Arabidopsis thaliana: one gene and its partners. The protein of the gene in region 3 purifies or fractionates together with the protein of the main gene of each other region. This does not show direct contact. Each region holds a gene or a part of one and is shown on either strand. Other genes may lie near its edges.

Evidence for each region. Proteins that work in one complex are often made in the same cells at the same time.
Region 1: the proteins of AT1G29880 (region 3) and AT5G57655 fractionate together in Arabidopsis thaliana (co-fractionation; one large-scale study listed by BioGRID). This does not show direct contact.
Region 2: the proteins of AT1G29880 (region 3) and MTHFR1 fractionate together in Arabidopsis thaliana (co-fractionation; one large-scale study listed by BioGRID). This does not show direct contact.

The regions. Positions count from the first base shown.
Region 1 is NC_003076.8:23,344,706-23,350,565, reverse strand, and holds AT5G57655 (xylose isomerase family protein), read right to left. Parts: upstream 3,892-5,860; 5' UTR 3,537-3,891; coding exon 3,477-3,536; intron 3,373-3,476; coding exon 3,268-3,372; intron 3,160-3,267; coding exon 3,085-3,159; intron 2,974-3,084; coding exon 2,844-2,973; intron 2,760-2,843; coding exon 2,668-2,759; intron 2,451-2,667; coding exon 2,397-2,450; intron 2,194-2,396; coding exon 1,908-2,193; coding exon of another isoform or gene 1,846-1,907; exon of another isoform or gene 1,831-1,845; coding exon 1,597-1,830; intron 1,512-1,596; coding exon 1,441-1,511; intron 1,344-1,440; coding exon 1,303-1,343; intron 1,214-1,302; coding exon 1,114-1,213; intron 1,036-1,113; coding exon 886-1,035; intron 797-885; coding exon 761-796; 3' UTR 501-760; downstream 1-500. Other genes in the region: AT5G57650 (eukaryotic translation initiation factor-like protein), read left to right, coding at 4,281-4,303, 4,646-4,769; AT5G57640 (GCK domain-containing protein), read right to left, coding at 5,120-5,800.
Region 2 is NC_003074.8:22,149,218-22,154,983, reverse strand, and holds MTHFR1 (methylenetetrahydrofolate reductase 1), read right to left. Parts: upstream 3,821-5,766; 5' UTR 3,682-3,820; coding exon 3,219-3,681; intron 3,127-3,218; coding exon 3,044-3,126; intron 2,950-3,043; coding exon 2,776-2,949; exon of another isoform or gene 2,555-2,775; coding exon 2,381-2,554; intron 2,281-2,380; coding exon 2,180-2,280; intron 2,074-2,179; coding exon 1,962-2,073; intron 1,731-1,961; coding exon 1,650-1,730; coding exon of another isoform or gene 1,572-1,649; exon of another isoform or gene 1,555-1,571; coding exon 1,377-1,554; intron 1,166-1,376; coding exon 831-1,165; intron 741-830; exon of another isoform or gene 739-740; coding exon 661-738; 3' UTR 501-660; downstream 1-500. Other genes in the region: AT3G59980 (Nucleic acid-binding, OB-fold-like protein), read left to right, coding at 16-222, 313-456; histone-lysine N-methyltransferase ASHH4, read right to left, coding at 4,771-4,807, 4,915-5,005, 5,084-5,111, 5,194-5,344, 5,425-5,505, 5,601-5,766. UniProt on the Arabidopsis thaliana protein: The probable reversibility of the MTHFR reaction in plants suggests that they can metabolize the methyl group of 5,10-methylenetetrahydrofolate to serine, sugars and starch.
Region 3 is NC_003070.9:10,458,858-10,464,757, forward strand, and holds AT1G29880 (glycyl-tRNA synthetase / glycine-tRNA ligase), read right to left. Parts: upstream 4,111-5,900; 5' UTR 3,925-4,110; coding exon 3,436-3,924; intron 3,188-3,435; coding exon 2,805-3,187; intron 2,721-2,804; coding exon 2,603-2,720; intron 2,495-2,602; coding exon 2,300-2,494; intron 2,196-2,299; coding exon 1,971-2,195; intron 1,842-1,970; coding exon 1,782-1,841; intron 1,710-1,781; coding exon 1,629-1,709; intron 1,534-1,628; coding exon 1,128-1,533; intron 1,038-1,127; coding exon 805-1,037; 3' UTR 600-804; downstream 1-599. Other genes in the region: RWA4 (O-acetyltransferase family protein), read left to right, coding at 4,675-4,722, 5,254-5,345, 5,463-5,600, 5,687-5,743, 5,819-5,891. UniProt on the Arabidopsis thaliana protein: Catalyzes the ATP-dependent ligation of glycine to the 3'-end of its cognate tRNA, via the formation of an aminoacyl-adenylate intermediate (Gly-AMP).

The DNA of each region.
Region 1 (5,860 bases), on a different chromosome or scaffold from region 3:
TAATTCATTCAACAACAAATAAAGAAATTTTCTAGAACCATCGACGGATAGTAATTAGGTTCAACATCATAGAAGACTCAATTATTGTAATACATCACGGTCGTCGCAAATACGAAATTAACAAAGTCATCACAACTATTTCATAGATACATCAAGTAGATAGGCTATGTTTCCCTAGTTTTCAAACCTTTCTTATCAAATACTATCAAAGATTTTGTCGAGAAATTTGTCAAATTAGGACTTTGAGTTTCCTTTAAATCTCAACAGAAAATTCTGAAATCATAACTAACGAAACGAAATGAATTGGATAAAGTTTTTATTGATGTTAGACCATTTTTAAGAATCAACGTTTTCAAACTCAAAACTCAAAGCTTAATGTGAAAATCATATATTGCTTTTCAAATTTTCATAAGGTAAGAAGAATTTTGATTGTATATATGTATATCGCTGTTTTAAACTTTCTCGTATAAAACCTCCTACAAACTTTACTATAGTCGAGTGAAGAAATAGATCGGAATTGCTCATTGGTCTTTGTCACAAAAACCGTAACTGAATCAAAGTAAAGGCCTAAACAGTTTTTTGTTATTCAATTTAAAGTAATTAGAGTGTGAAACCATAGTACATCAACTGAAATAATGAAACCAACCTCTCTAATCATCTTATTTTCCAATGTTTTGGTTTTCAAACTTCTCAAAGATGCGAGGGAAACTAAAAAAGACGATACTTTTAATAAACATAAAAAGCCTTCTTGTTCTTCTTCTTACATTGCAGATTGGAAAATCATCTCAGCGAGTTCCTGCAGATTTCGTTTCAAAAGACATCGATCATTGTGTGTTTTTCGTGTTTAACGAAACAAAACCAGAATTAATAGCAAGAAACTTGTACCTGTTTAGCAGAAGAAACCTTTGGTTCTCCAAACTCTTTAGCTTTCTTCTCAAGATACTCAAAATCAGCTTTTCCTTCTTCTATTTGCTTCCCAAGCTCAGAGTCCCAAGTTGCATATCGCTTGCGTACCAATTCACTTAGACTTCCCTCCTTTACCACACCGAAACCAAGTTAAAGCTACACTCTTTGGTTCTTTTATAAAACTTATCTATTCATATCTTAACTAACCTCCAAGATTTTGACTGCATTTCTCAGTCCACGAGCCATTGTATCCATTCCACTAATATGAGCAATGAATAAGTCTTCCACGTCTGTACTCTCTCTTCGCCTGTTTAATCAACCAAACATTATAAGCTTCTTTCTCGGTTTAATTTTGTATGAAACAGTAAAACATTGTGAATCAAGAATCGCTCTTACAGTTTAGCGTCAAAGTTGAAGCCGCCTGGAGCAATCCCACCCTGTTTCATATGTGAAAAACAGAAGCTCTTATGAGCTTACATTCAAAAATTTACAATGAAATTCCCAAAAATAGCGAGTTTCTTTAATATTACATACATTTTTGATGACACTCATCATAACCATGGTTGCTTCTCCAACATCTGTAAGAAACTGATCTGTATCCCATCCTGTTAAGAGAATGAGAGAACTTTGTTCAATCAGAATCTGGTTAGGAGGTGTTAACAATCAAGAGAGCTGAAATTGAAAAATTACCAGTTTGAGCATCGCCAGTGTTTGCATCAATGTTGCCAAGTAAACCATTAATTCTTGCAGTTTCAAGCTCGTGATGACAAGTGTGACCAGAGAGCGTGGCATGGTTACACTCAATGTTGAGCTTAAACTCATCAATAAGACCATATTTCCTCAAGAAATTGGCAGCTGTTGCAGCATCCCAGTCATACTGGTGCTTGGTGGGTTCTTGAGGCTTGGGCTCGATTAAAAGCGTGCCTGATAAAAAGAAGATTATTGTGCAATAACTCCCATAAGACTGAATACAGGACAAGAAAAAGAAGCAGTAGACTTACCTTTGAATCCAATCTTCTTCTTGTAAGCAACAGCAGCTTCAAAGAACCTGGCTAGATGATCAAGCTCTCTTCCCATATCAGTGTTCAAGAGTGTCTGATAACCTTCACGACCACCCCAAAAAACGTAGTTTTCACCACCTAAGTAATGTGTTACCTCCATGGCTTTCTTCACCTGAGCAGCAGCGTAAGCATACACTCCAACTTCAGAGCTGGTCGCTCCTCCGTGCATATAACGAGGATGCAAGAAAAGCTGAGCTGTTCCCCACAATGGTTTGATTTTGCTCCCCTGCATTTGAAGAAAACGAAGAACCTTTTTTTCTTAGCACATCAAACTAAGGAATGGTAACAAGATAGTACTGTTTCAGTGATAAAAAGATTCAATTATAAAATGGCATACATGAGTCTGTATTGGAGAATTGATTAACTACAAGAAGTATCTTCCAAAATCCAATGTGTAATAAGAACTGGAAAATTAACAAACTGAATCACCTTTTGGAGTTCTTTGGCGAGTTCGATAACTTCATCCAAGTTTTTGTTAGATTCCTGCAGATTAAGTATAAACAGGTTACAGGCGCTTTCTTTATGACTGAAACAAGTTAACATTGGGCCAACAAGAGCAAAACAAAGTTATCAAGTACCACAAGAAACAGCAAGCTGCAAAGGAAATATCAGGACCAAAATGGTTTATAACACCAGGCAATAAAGCAGATTGTAGTTTCAATGTAAAGCAAAATGGTGTAAGTTCAGAAGCTCGAGTTACCTCAAGTGTAGTGCCATCAGGTGCTATGTCTCTGTCATGAAAACACCACCAATCAACTCCAAGTTTCTTCAAGAACTCAAAGTTAGCTCTCACTGCATTAAACAACAATCAGTAACTCAAATCACAGTAACTCGATAACGAAGAGAAACTAACATAAAAACACAATCTGGACTTACTTCTTCTCTTAGCCATAGACACAGAGTTAGTACCATCTTCCCAAGGCCAATACTTAGTAGCAGCACCAAATGGATCACCTCCAGTCCCACGGAAAGTATGCCAAAACGCAACACTGAATCTAAACCAATCCTGTTCAAAAAATTCAGGACAACAAACAAACATCCCACACGTTTCTTCAAATCCATAAAAACATAACTCAAAAATTGTTGCAAGAAAATACAAACAAGAAAATAAAAGTACCTTCATTTTCTTCCCAAGAATCTCTTCTTCAGCGTTATACCACCTGTAAGCAAGTGGGTTCTTACTCGAAGGTCCCTGAAAAAATTCATCAACAACCAATTCATCTACACATGCAAACAACAAATCCACTAAAGTTTCCAACTTAAACCAACAGTTTTAAAGAGAAACATCACCATTGTTTACCTCATACTTAATCTTGGGGATTTCAGGGAAGAAATCACCTTGCCAGTCATCAGAATCACTACACTTGCCTCCCAAATCAGCAGGACATGTTGGTGGATCAGCAGACTTTACACACCAATCAAGATCAAATTTAAAAACTTTAATCTCGGATTATATTTCAATGATTGGAAGAACATTAAAAATTCGAGCTTTTGATTATTAAGTCTTACCACTAGAGATGACGCTGCGATGAAGCAGAGAAGGAGCATAAAAAACTCAACTTTCTTCATAGTTTTCAACGAACCTTGAACGATGGATGAAGCCCAAAACAAAGTTCTTGTAATAAAATCGAAAACGCAAGAGAGAAATTGAAAAAAAAAAAAAACTAAGCTTTGGAAGATTTGGATAAAAATCGCAAAGATAATATATATACAAACAGAGATTTTTTTAGATTTAAGTAAGTGATGATGATGATGATGATTAAGAATTAGTCACAGATAATGATGTGACGTAAGCAAAGTTTTGTTTGTTTTTGTGTGATTTTCAGTTTTGCCCCTTGACATAAATGAAATCGACGGTCGTGATTTTATAGGTGAGTTAAAGCAGTCGTACGTTTACTCTTTATCCGGAAACAACGTCGCGAATATCACGTTTCTGACTCAGCAAAATTATCCTTTTCTATTTTTAGGATCAATAATATTATGGATAGGTATTAAATCGAATTTTGTTGAGTTTTTTTTCATTACTTCCCAACAATAACATAATTTCGAATAACTACAAAGGGAAGAAAAAAATTCTAATATTGTCTGAAAATTATCTCACCCGTGAAAATGAAAAATTACATGTCAGTGTCCGTGACAGAACCGAGCACATTAAATGAAAATATTGCATGCTGATTAAAAAATGTTATGTTTAATCGGGCTAAAAATTTAACAAAAAGTCTCCTTATATTGGGACTTTAATATTTGGGCTAATTGAAGCATTTTTCCTCAGTAAGACTCTCTCTCCCCAGGCATTCAATTTGTTTGGTTTGGATGATATCGAAACTTACGATTTGGTGAGTTTCTGTTTGGATTGGCGAGCAATGCATGTTTTAGTTTTCCTTAGTGTTAGATCCTTCAATATTATTGCTGGCTTTTAGGGATATAAACTGATATGTCAAGGCAGATACATAAGTGAACGAGAGGGAAGTTTATGATAGTGTTAGGTCAGTAGTAACTTAAGCTAAAAAAGATCTGCTTCCTTGAGTTAATTGATCTTTTTTGATTAGCTAAATAGATCTGCTTCTTGAAGCACTTCAACTGTAATAATTTTATACTTGTGTGGTTTTTTAAAAGTATTATATTGATTTTAGCAGGACCTGATTGTGCTGATGATACTACTGCTCTCTGTTTCTTAGGTTTGATCGTGACTGGAAGAAGATTGAAGATTTTGTTGAAGATCATCTTGCAGTGATTACCACTGATCACTTCATGGACCGTATGGCTGCTATTCATGTTGAAGCGTATTGCGGAAGATCCTGAAGACCACTGCTGATGACTTTTATGTGCCAAAGGAATGTGCTTCTTTCTTTTACTTCTATCTCTTGTTTCAAAAGTTGAGCATAAGTACTACTCAAGTCTCACTTAAGATTCTATCATTGGATAAAAACTCTTGCACAAAGTCTTATCTTAAAAAAAATCAAAATGTATATTAAAATGGTCTTAGTTTTTTGTAGAAGAAGGTGATTACGACAGTATTTTATAGATGCATCCAAATTACATAACCAATGGTGTATATAAGAAGACACACCTAAACAAAATTAAGAGTAACGAAATTTGAATTTTCATTCAGATCAATGTAAGTCTCAATATGCTCATAAAAAAAGCTTTACCTAATTCTGATTCTGATGATCACTCTCATTACCCTCGGATCCCTCTGCTTCCTTCTCCTTCTTCTTTCCAGCTTCCAACTCGCGAAACGCCTTCCCGATCGCTGCAGCTTCAGCAGGCAGAATTGGCTCAGCATTCTCTTCTTGCAACCCGCTAAACGCCCTCGCAATGACTGCAGGCTCACCAGCCATAATAGCTTCCTTTTCCGCGTTCAACAACTCGCTCAACATCTTGGCCATCGCTCTAGCCTCACCAGCAAGAAGGGGCTCATAGTAAACAGGGTTATCATACATGCAAGTCTTAAAGATGAGTCTTGCCTCCTTACATTTACTTACGTGATCTTCATTGTTCTTCTTTGCTTCGTCGCAACAATTCTCCAATTCTGTGAATGCTTCTTTACACTCACCTCCCTTTATGAACTGGCATAAAGGGCACTCTCCACTCTCTTCCTCTGTTTCATCCAAATCTTCATCTAGGGTTTTAGATTCTTCCTCATCTCCTTGATCTTCAATTAGGGTTTTGGATTCCTTCACATCTACTTGATCTTCACTTAGGGTTTTTGATTCCTCCACATCTCTCTGATCTTCAATTAGGGTTCTAGGTGATTCGTCGTCCCCATCTCCCTGATTTGTCGAAGGATCTTCCTCTGTTTTAGCTTCAGCCACAGAGTTTATACTTCCCATAGATGACGGATTTAAGGTTTTTGCTACACAAGGTTCTTGCTCACTCTAAAAACCTCAATT
Region 2 (5,766 bases), on a different chromosome or scaffold from region 3:
TTTGGTTCTGTGCAGGGTGCATCAGTGGTGGTGCTGGCTAATCTGAAGCCGAGGAATATGAGAGGGGTTAAGTCATGTGGTATGCTTTTAGCTGCATCTGACGCAGCTCATGAAAATGTTGAGCTTCTTGTTCCACCAGAAGGCTCTGTTCCTGGAGATAGAGTTTGGTTTGGTAACGAAGAAGATCTCGAGCAGCTTCCTGAACCTGCACCTCCTAATAAGGTCATTTAGCCTGCAAAGCACTAATCATTTCAGTACTGCAAGACTTAAGTCATGGCATATTCAAGTTCTGTGTTTTCTTTGTTGTTTCAGGTTCAAAAGAAGAAGATGTGGGAATTGGTGCAACCACTTTTGAAGACAGATGCGTCTGGTGTTTCAATGCTTAAGGAGCATTTGATGCGGACATCTTCTGGTCTTGTTACTTCCAAGTCTTTAAGAAATGCCAACATTTCTTGATTTCTGTTAAAAGCTATTTTGTGATGTTGTTTTGACACAAGAGAGAAAGAACAAACCGCTAAGGCGATTTTTTTCATTGCAATCAAACTGATGTTTTTGTTGATTCATCAAAGTAAGGTTATTACGAATCAAAAATAACTTTAAAAGGTACAAAACAAATCTCGAAATCGAATGTTTCCTCTTCGCCGGTGGTTTTCTCGGAGATCAAGCAAAGACAGAGAAGATATCACCATTGATGTAATTGTTGTCCACTAAGCTTACCAAATAGTAGCTGTTCTTCACCTGCATATTCGATTGGATCATACCATCATCATTACAGCTAAACCAATCTGGTCACTGAAAAGAAGAGAAGAAAAAAGAAGAAGATTCTTTACCTCCTCGAGCAACTTTCTAGAAGGGTCATCTTCTGGGTACAAGTTAGCCCAGCTTCTTGACCAAATCTCAAACGCTTCGTCTTTCCAGACTTTGAAACTGGCTGGATCCACGATCGTCGGTTGAATAACCTCCTTAGCTGGGAACACTCCCCAAGTAACTGCATTCACATCGGACTCACCGGTGTTTGATACCCAATTCTCTGATTTGTTCACGGCCATGTAGGTGATAGAAGGAAAAGCTTTGGATTTCTCCACAAGTGTGTCTAACTTATCCTTTGAACAGAAGAACTCCAGATAAGCTTTCTGGTAGACGTAACCACCAGGACCACCCCATCCTGCAAAGTATCAATTGCAATTATACATTTTTGTTATAAGCCAAGTAGATATTCCCAATGCAATTTAAACATTATGTTATAAGCTAAGACAGAAGCTCTAGAGGGTTTAAATAGGTTTTTAAGAAATGACAGATGAATCACAAGTCAAATAAGATTTTTTTTTTTGGAACGTTATGGTATGCTTTGTGATCACAAGTTTGAGTTTTCTTACCAATAGCTGGAGAATCGGATTTGGCTGCATTGACTGATGGTTGGCTATTAATGGTCAGGAAACCGTTGGAGTTGATTTTTCCGAGTTGCTCATTTATGATCTTTGTCTCTGGCTGGAGTCCATCTAATTCAGACCATGGGCTGCTTTTTAAGTTTCCAATGCAGAGCTCTTTGAATTTCTGATTTGTGACAGTTTTTACATGAAAATGTGCAAGTGAGTATGAGGGAAAGAGATCGAAACAATTTGTACGAGTGTCCGTAAAGTAAAGCCTACCTCTTGAACATCTTCAATGCTTTTCAGTGGGACGACCCATTCTTGCTGAAGCTTCTTGTCACGTCCTTTTGGGCGCGCAAACTATCAACACATGCATTTATATCAGCACTACTCATTGGCAATGAAAAACGCAGAAGAGATGGCAAGCAAAGCAAGCAGCTTCTTACAAGTGATAATGGTAGGGCTAAATAACAATATGCAAATACAATTTAAGCAAATTGAGAAGGCAAACTGAAAACAAGCCTTTCAGAATTCAAGTTTTCAAAATATAAAGTCGATATGTCAGAAAACTGATAAATATGTGGTACGTACCTGATAATCCGAAAGTGTACTGTATGCTGCACTGTGTGAATCACCCCAACGTCCATGTGGGAAGTCATTCCAGCCCTTTGTTCTAGATATGTAGCTCTTTGGACGGTTTGCCCTGCAAAGATAAAAAATGAAGTAACAGTATTATTCCTCCGCAAATATATCTTAAAGTTAAAGATCTGTAATAATACTCCGAGCAAGAGAAACAAAATGCAGGTTACCAGAAAATTGGGCGAACATCTTCCTTAGTACGGAAAACATTTGCAGGGCGTCTCCAAGGTAGAGAACGAGAAATTTTTGACTCATCAATCAGACCAAGGTTCTGCAATTTGAGCACCACTGTTAGGTTCTCCGGTATACACAATACCATGTGTTAAATATTACTACACAGAAACCAATTTAGAAGGAAATGAGAAGAAAACCATTAATATCCCAATAGCTGATTTGTCCACGTTCAATGTGTAGAGATGAAGGGAAGTGATTCCATGGGCCAAAATCTTTTTGCACATTTCTGTTGCAAAGTGAATTCCATAGGCTTTAACAGCCTCGTCATTATCCTTAATAGGCTCTAAGGCAGCAGTGAGCTCAGCGGGTATCTATGCAATAATAGAATCATGAGTGGAATATAAATCAAAGAAAAATGATATCTGAACACATTAGTCATAAGGCATCATCACCAAGGGTCTATATATATATCACCAAGCAACTAGATAGATGCAGTAAACTCAATCTCATCTTAAAGCCTTTAAGCACAAAGACGACATGTGTCTACAGAGCAAGCCATATCATCACACAGATGAAAGAGATCACAACATACCTTGGTCTTACAGAAACCAGCCATACGCAAGAACCCCTTGTAGTTGGAAATAGGCATAATTCCAGGAACAATGGGACAATTAATCCCGATTTGCCGACAATCATTCACAAACTTGAGGAATATATCAGTATCATAGAAAAGCTGAGTCACAATCAAATCTGCTCCAGCATCAACCTGTACCACAAGCCACAATCCACTAAACCCATCAAATCAAGACAACACAAACAATTCAACACACAAAATTCAAAACCAAGACACAAATCTGAACCTTTTTCTTCAAGTAAGCAAGATCACTCTGATAAGATTCAGGAGTAGCAAGTCCATCAGCTTCAATAACATCCGGATGAGCCTCTGATTCATAACACACAAATCCCCAATTAGAGATCAAAATCACAACAACGAAACCAACAATGAAATTGATTAAAAGGGAGCATTTTGATTACCAGGATAACCAGCAACAGTGATTCCAAAGTAATCACCATACTTGCTACGAATGTGATTCACCAGATCCAAAGCACAAGCAAATCCTCCTTCAACCTGAACAAACTTATCTTGTCCATGAGGAGGATCTCCTCTAAGAGCAAGCACATTCTGAATTCCATTAGATCTAATCGTCTCAAGCGCGTGATCAATCTTCTCAATCGGCATGTTGGTACAAGTGAGATGCATCATAGTCTCGACGCAGATAACATTCTGCATCCTAGAAGCAATCTCGAGAGTGAGATCAGCTGTGGATCCACCAGCACCCCAAGTGATATCGCAGAAGGTAGGTCCATAAGAGACCAATCGATCCATTCGTTCAAAGAGATTCTCGACGCCATCTTCTGTCTTCGGTGGGAAAAACTCGAAGGAGAAAGCTGTTTGGCCTTGCTCCGTCACGGATTTGATCTTATCAACCACCTTCATCGTTGAATCGAAATGAGATCCAAATCCAAATCCAGATTCGGAATTAGATAGGTAGAGGAAGTGGTGGTGGAGAGGCAAGTTTGGTCTCTCTGGTTTGTTTACTCACTCATTTATACTAATCTCTAAAAATGAAGATAGAGATCCAACAACTTTGGTGGTAACTGGTAACCGGTAAAAACTTTAGATAAAAAATTATATTATCAACATTGTTGTTTTTCTACACATCTATTTTGAATTTTCCTTTTTCTAATTACATAATATTTATCAATGTAAATATATTTTCAACAAAGAAATCCAAATTTAGCACAGCATTTCTGTTATCACGTTTTTTTTCTCACATTGCTATCACTTTTTATTGTGCTAAATACATATTTCCTCACTTTTGGAATTTATCTTTTCCATAATAGTAATTTTATCCTTTTCCTTTACAAAAAACTAGTTTTTATATTTTTCTTATTTTCCAACTAAACATAAGAAAAAGAAAATTTAGTTAGGTAGGTGAGCTACGACCCCACATTACCTACCACCGGTAACGGCAAATCCACTGTCGGTCACCGGCGCGTGGGTATCATCCGCTACAACGGACAGTAGGCTAGTGATATAGCAGCATTGCCAAGGAGAATCACGTGCTTAACAAACTCGAGTTATAGACAGAGCAAACCGGGTATGAGATTTTTTGTCTCTTAAATAACCAAAACCCCGGTTTAAAATCCAAAAACACTTTTCTTTATTTGGTCCAAAGATTCCACATACAGTGTAATGTACTACTGAACTACTGATTCAAGTTGGATACATACAACAACAAAGTCTAAACCTATTTGCCAACCGACACGGTTTGGTTGGTTACAAAATTTCTTGACAATTCAAGTGTAATCCTATGTAAGGGAATGAAATCAGACTTGGAACAGTCACAATATCAAGCAGTTACAACCTTCCAAACTTCTCTGCACATGTCGATGATCTCGGTAACACCATCCTCATACATGACCTGGACAAAGTCAATGTTCATTCTTTAGATTTCGTAAACTGAGATAGAATGTGAACAACAGTGTTGGCAATAAGTCAAATGAATAGATACCAAGTGCTTATTTAAAACTCATCATATTGTGTAATGATTCCAAAACACCTGAAAAATGTCAACTACTAGAGTCAAAACCTTCATCTGAGCCGTGTAATACTGTTCTTTGGTGTGGAAGAAATTGGTTTTTGAGAAAAAAAGAAAGATAGTTATACTTTTGGTTCATGGGACGTGCTAACCAGATCACCGCACCAATGCAGTCCCGGCAACATATTTTCCTCTGGCTATGATTGTTCCAAGCTTGTCCTGACGCATCCAAATTGGTTTCTCTTACCTCTGAATTGAGAAGCTTGTCGATAATCGAGCCAAATAATTAATACTAACCAGCAATGCGTCTCCCTCGAGTTTTTCCCTAACCATATGTTTGAAAGGACAAGTTACTGTTTAGCAATCACAGGATGACTAAAAAAAAGTAAGGCAAAGCTCAAATTTACCTTGGGCGTTTTCCAGGTCACTTTACATGCCACTGGCTTCACAGCTTCTTCTAAGGTTGTGTTCTTAGTTTTGCAAGGTTTTGCACCTAGCTTTTTTCTGCAACACACTGCACCACAGTAGCAATCTTGATCTGCACCAAACTGAACAAACCTGCTATATTTATTAGTATCACACAACTAAACATTTACATTCAAATACTTTATTGTTGTGATGCAAGGAAATGTTCTTACTGGTAATCGTAAGTCAACTGCTCGCCTTTGTTTATGAAACGGGTAGCAAAAATGCCGATTCTTGTCTCGCCATCAATTATCCTAAATGGGAACAAAAAGGTTCATGATCTATAACTTTGCTCAATTGTTTTGAACAGAAGAAAAGTGAGAAGATGGATAATAAGTTACAAACGAACCATTTCTGCATCTCTGTGTTAGGACTGCAGCTGTGATTGATGTATCTTGATTTATTACCCTTGTGAGTAGCATCAATCACCATGTTCCAGTTTATCTGACACAAATAGAAATTTGTCTCGACCTTATGATTCAGCTTCCAAAGCCTTTCTTCACAAATCTTGTCGT
Region 3 (5,900 bases):
TAGCTAGGGTTTTAATATGGGAAACTTCAGCAGGGTTTTGTTACTTTAGGATTTTTATTACAATGCGAAACTTGGTGCTCAAGCGATGAGTTTTTAAAAAAAAATATAAAATCTCTATTCGTTCTTAAACATTTTAATTGTAATTTCAATTAAATATTTTTTTAAATATATCTTGCCTATAGTCTATTGTATTAATTATTTGTATTTAATTATATAAATAACAATCATAAAATCATAAATATTGATAATCTTACTTTCCTTCATAACTTGCCTAATTGTGTTACGTCCTCCAAGATCGAGATTTCTATCCGCCTGCATGGCTGCATTATCATAAAACTTGGATTTAACTAACCCATTATTCGATATCAAAAACTTTTGAATGTGCTTTCCTCTGGTTTAGTCCATCTCTGCATCTAAACTAAAACCTAAAATAGTCAGTATATATGCACGATGGCGCTACCAACTGCCCAAGGATGCGTCAACTCTTTGCTTCTCTAACTTGTAACTTTGTAATCCTTAGCAAACTGTAAAAACAATGATCCTTCATACTTTTTTTTCTTAATGCAAACACAAACAATTCAGACCATAACTGGATGGACTGAAATTTGTGACCAAAATTTAGAAAATTAGCAGTAGAATGGACGAAAATATAACAGAGAGTTTATACTTTATAGCCACTTCGTCTCCAAATCTGGTATCGAACTTTTTACGTGACACTAAGAAACAAAACATTAAAAATGAGTAGATTCAGCAACAATTAATTTAACACTTTGGTTTTTAATTCGGAAAAAAACAAGGAGCTAGCTACTCGTCTGCAGCAGCAGAAGAATGGTGAGGGAAGGTTGCCCAGACGTCTTGCCACGTCATTTTCCCCTCTGAGACTGAGCTCACAACGGAAGCTGCCTCCTTCAAGGTGACTCGGACTTGATCTTTGCTGTCTCTTTCTCTGATTGTCACTGATGTATCCGAGTCCACTGTTATTGCAAATGGCACTCCAAGCTCATCGGTTCTCGCATATCTCTTCCCTATCGATGTACCTGTTCACACACAAACACAACAAATCTTTACTTGATTTGATCCATTTCAATATTTCAAAAAACTTCAATTCTCAACTTGTTTTTACGTACCAGTGATGTCAATCTTATGGGAGATACCGACAGAGGCGAGTTCCTTGGAAATAACTTTGGCTACTTCCTCGAATTGTTGGTTCTGAACAAGCGGGAAAACCGTGCACTTGATGGGAGCTACAAGAGGAGGGAAACGGAACAAGTTCAACTGCTCATCCCCTGCTTTGCTTGGCCTTGTGCTGAAACAATGCTCATACAGACAATATATGATCCGACCAATCCCAAACGATGGTTCAATCACTGATGGAGTGAAAACCCGCTGGTGCTCTTTCTTCTTCTCCTTTGATATAGACACCATGTTTTTCTTGATGTTCACGCTTTTCTTTAGGGTACACACGTAAAACTCCACTTCCCCTTTGGATTCCAGGGTTGCTTTCATCTCCATAGCTTCTTCCTCATTCATCGCCTAACAAAACATTACACGAAGCATGATATTTATTCTAAACCATCACCATATTATTAAAAAAAAAAGTTATTCAGTAAAACAGTTAAGAGTTCAACCTCCAAAGATTCAACCACATTCTTTTGATTTCCCTTGAATGCAAGACCCAGTTCTTTCTTCACAGGAGTTATCACAAGTTTCTGATATAAAAGATAACCATGTTAAGGACAAGTAATAAAGACAGAGATGAATGAATCTGTTCACTAAAATACCTCTACTTCTTTAGGTTCTGCAAATTTCTCTTCAGCCACAAGAGGAGTACCACTTTTGTCCTGTCGCGCAACAGTTGATCAACAATATACTTTAGTGAATTTAAACAGGAACACTTACGGGTTTTGATCATTAATTATCTAGCTGTAAAACGAAATGATGAAAATAGAAGTAAAAGGTGAGGTTCTTACAGAGTGAGCACGTAAGTCGTAAGCAGACCTATCTGCAATCCCAACACATTCAATCCACCCATATGAACTTTCAATTTCAGCATCCCAACAATCTGCTGCATAGTGGGCCATTTCATTTGCTAGATGCTGACGGAAGCGCAGCCGTTCCTTGTCAATGCCAAGACGAGTAAGGAAAAGATACACTCTCCCAATGAAGTATCCTAGAGTTTCATTGTTCACAGTACCCTATACGAATAGGATTTCAGTGTCAGGCATCAATAAGATATAAAAATGGGTGTGTGCGAGTTCTTAGTAGAATTAAGTAGGCGAATATGATTACAAATACTAACTTTAGCAACAGCTTCACCAAGGCAAAGTTTTTTGGCAGATTGGCCAGACATTTGTTCTTCCCTTGGGAACATAAGGAATTCCAATTTTGCTACGTCAGAGAACTTAGGATGTGACTTATTCTCAGGATCAACGAAGTGCTCAATCTCTGCCAGCGTGAATTCACGAACTCTAAGAAGCCCTTGTCGAGGAGATATCTGCGAGTAATATGCTACTTATTAAAACCCAGACATAATGCAGAAAAGAATTTCTTAAAGAAGATTGAGATGAAGACATCCCATACATCAAGCAAAGTAATACATTACCTCATTTCTAAAGGCTTGACCAATTTGAGCCGCGGCAAAAGGAAGTTTCTTCCCATTGTAATAGTACAAGTCCTTAAAGTTGACAAAAATACCTTGAGCAGTTTCAGGACGCATGTAACTGAAACACAAAAGAGGAGTAATTTGATAACAAACTCAGGAAAGAAAGTGGCTCAGAAATGATTATAACATGAAAAATACTCACCCAGGAATCAAACCAGATGGGCCAATGGATGTTTGAAACATCAAATTAAACGGGTAAGGATCAGAGAGTGGATTCTTCGTGTCTGGAGCAGTGATCCCATACTCCCTGATCTTGGCACCTAGCTGTTCAGGAGAAAAATCTTCCATAACAGCAAGAACATCCTTCAATTCAGCAGCTTTCTCAGCAGAGATGGTAAGATCTTTCTCCAGCTTCTCGGTACAATAATCCTTGAGCAAGTGGTCAGCACGGTAACATGTTCCAGTTTTCTCATCCTTAACCATAAGATCAGTGAACTTATCTACATGCCCAGATGCCTTGAGAACAACCTCTGGTGTCACACATGGACAATCAACTTCTAGCATGTTCTCCTCAAGAATGAAATGCTGCAAACGAAGCAAATCACTCCCGTATAAGAACAAGCCTAACACAATTTCTACTCTATGAATCATGTCAAATTTGACCCACATCAATCTGTATAATTCCAAACGTAACTCTACTCTATGAATCTTGTCACATTTGACTCAATTTCTACTCCATTCAATCACGTTTAGTAACAAATCTAACTCGGTTTATACAACCAAAATCTTGTCGAATTTAAATACAGAGAAATGTGAATAGTGTTGTTCCTTACTTGACGCCAAAAGCTGAGAACATTGGATTTAATAGCACAGCCAGGAGGACCATAATCAAAAAGTCCAGCGACGCCACTGTAGATCTTAAACGAAGGGATATAGAACAAACGCCGCTCGAGAGTATTGACAACAGCTTTTCGAAAAGCCTCACGGTTAAGCGAACCATTACCGGAGCTACTGATAATAGACTGAAGCTCCTTCTCGACGGTAGATTTCTCGAGCTTCAATTTGTTGAGTTGCTCAATGGCAGCATCGATTTCTGGTTTAGCTGCACGGGAAGCCTTGAGAGCTCGGACGGCGTTACCCTGAGCTTCGACGGATGAGGATTTCTCGGAAAGAGATTGACGGAGAGACTGCTCGGTGGCGTCCATCGGAATCTGGATCGGAGCGATGGAGATTGGGTTGCGAAGGATTGTGGTGGTTTGGAATTGACGAAGATTGAAGATTTGTTGTCTGCGATGAAAGACGAATGTAGAGAAGATGCGCATTCGACGAAGTGTTTGTTTCCACTTACTAGTGGCCCCCTTAGGGTTTAAGATGATAATGTGGAAACCTTTGGGCCCAAGGAGTGGGTTTGGTTGACGAAATGAAATCTAAACCCAATAAAGAGTAAAGACATTTAAATGTCATCACATCTACACGTTTGACGTTTCAACATGGATGCAAAATTTTCCAAATGCTTTAACACCAAACAAATATGTGAACATTGATGTTTGGTACCAACTTATCCCTCACCTACCAGAAAGGTCCACTACGTTTGTTTATCTATAGGCAAATCCACACTAATGTTTTTGTGTTCTTTTTTTCCTCTTTAGATACACAAATATGTTGTCAAAACCAAACCTAAATGCATGCATTTCTGTAAGCAAAGGCATTGCGATTAGAAAGAAAAGTTTGTGTGCAGTGAGAGCTGTAAATTGCGTATAACCACAATCAGATTACCTCTGTAATTTACTTAATTAGTAATTAATAAGTAATTAATAATTTAACAATTAGAGGAGAGGCAATCGCCAAACCAACCAACCGTACGATTGAATTTGACGAAAACGACGTCGCGTCCGCCATTTTCTTCTTCCTTGAAGCAATAGCTTCTTCACTTCAGATCTCTTCTTCTTCTTCTTCGTTGCCACTGCCCCAATTAACTCTGTCTATCTCTCTCTTCATCCCCTAGATTGAAACTAATTGCAATTGGAGTGTATATTGCAGTATCTAGTTTTTGAATCTCTGGGTATTCCTTTATGGATCCAGTAGATATGGTTGTGTCACAGCCAATTACGCCTGGTCAGGTACAATTTTTCATGATCTTCGGTGATTCAAGTTTCGATTTACATTCTTCTCCAACTTCCCGAAGCGGATTTTGAGATTTTGATTGAATTGGCCTGTAGCTTAATGTGATTAGGACTCTCTATCTTTCTCCTTTATATGAATGTGGTTGATTCATTCTTCAGTTCATCGGTTGCTTGCTAGATTTAGATTAATGTTGGCTGTGTAAAGTAGAGTGGTGAGATTGATTATCCCACCAGATGATCTGCTGGCACAATGATCTATAATAGTTCATTTACAAAGATTGTAATGTCTCAACATTGAGTCAAGTGTTTTCAATTACTAATAACTTACTAAGCTTCTACCTCAGCCACTCTGTGTTTTCTTCAGCTTGAAGCAACGTACTTTTTCTTTTAGTTTGGAAGATTTGGATTGAACCTTGTTGCGTAGATTTACATTTTGTATTCGGCTGAAAGAACACAACTTTCGTGGGTTTTTTTGGATTACTGTTATTGTTCTCAATCTTTCTTCTTTTGTTCTTCTTTCTGTTGCAGGTTTCGTTTCTGCTTGGAGTCATTCCTCTTATGATAGCATGGCTATACTCGGAATTTCTGGAGTATAGGAGGTCTTCTTTTCACGCTAAAGTGTATGTGTATGGATGATTATTATCTAATTGAGTCTCATCTACTGATATCTCGCTTATGTGTGTTTAATTTCTTTGGAACTTACTGTTTTTGTGGTTTCACGTTATCCACATTTGCAGTCATTCAGATAAGAATTTGGTTGAACTGGAAATGGTGACGAACAAAGAGGATGAAGGAACAGTTTTAATGGAAGGAGGTCTTCCAAGATCTGCCTCTTCAAAGTTTTATAGCTCACCAATCAAAACAAATTTGATTAGGTTGTTATAGCTATTTGTTTTTCTTAGGGAGGAATGTTCTCTAGCCATAATATTTTCTTAACCATTGGCATTGTGTTTATTCGTAGGTTTCTGACTTTGGAAGACTCTTTCTTGCTTGAAAACCGAGCAACCTTGAGAGCAATGTAGGTTCCTTAGTTCTCAGCAATATTGAATTCTTACTGATTAGGCTCCATAGTGACCATTTTCTTCTATTGTAGGGCTGAGTTTGGAGCAATTCTTTTATATTTTTATATTTGTGATCGAACTAGCTTGATCGGGCAGTCTCAAAAGGTGCCTCCA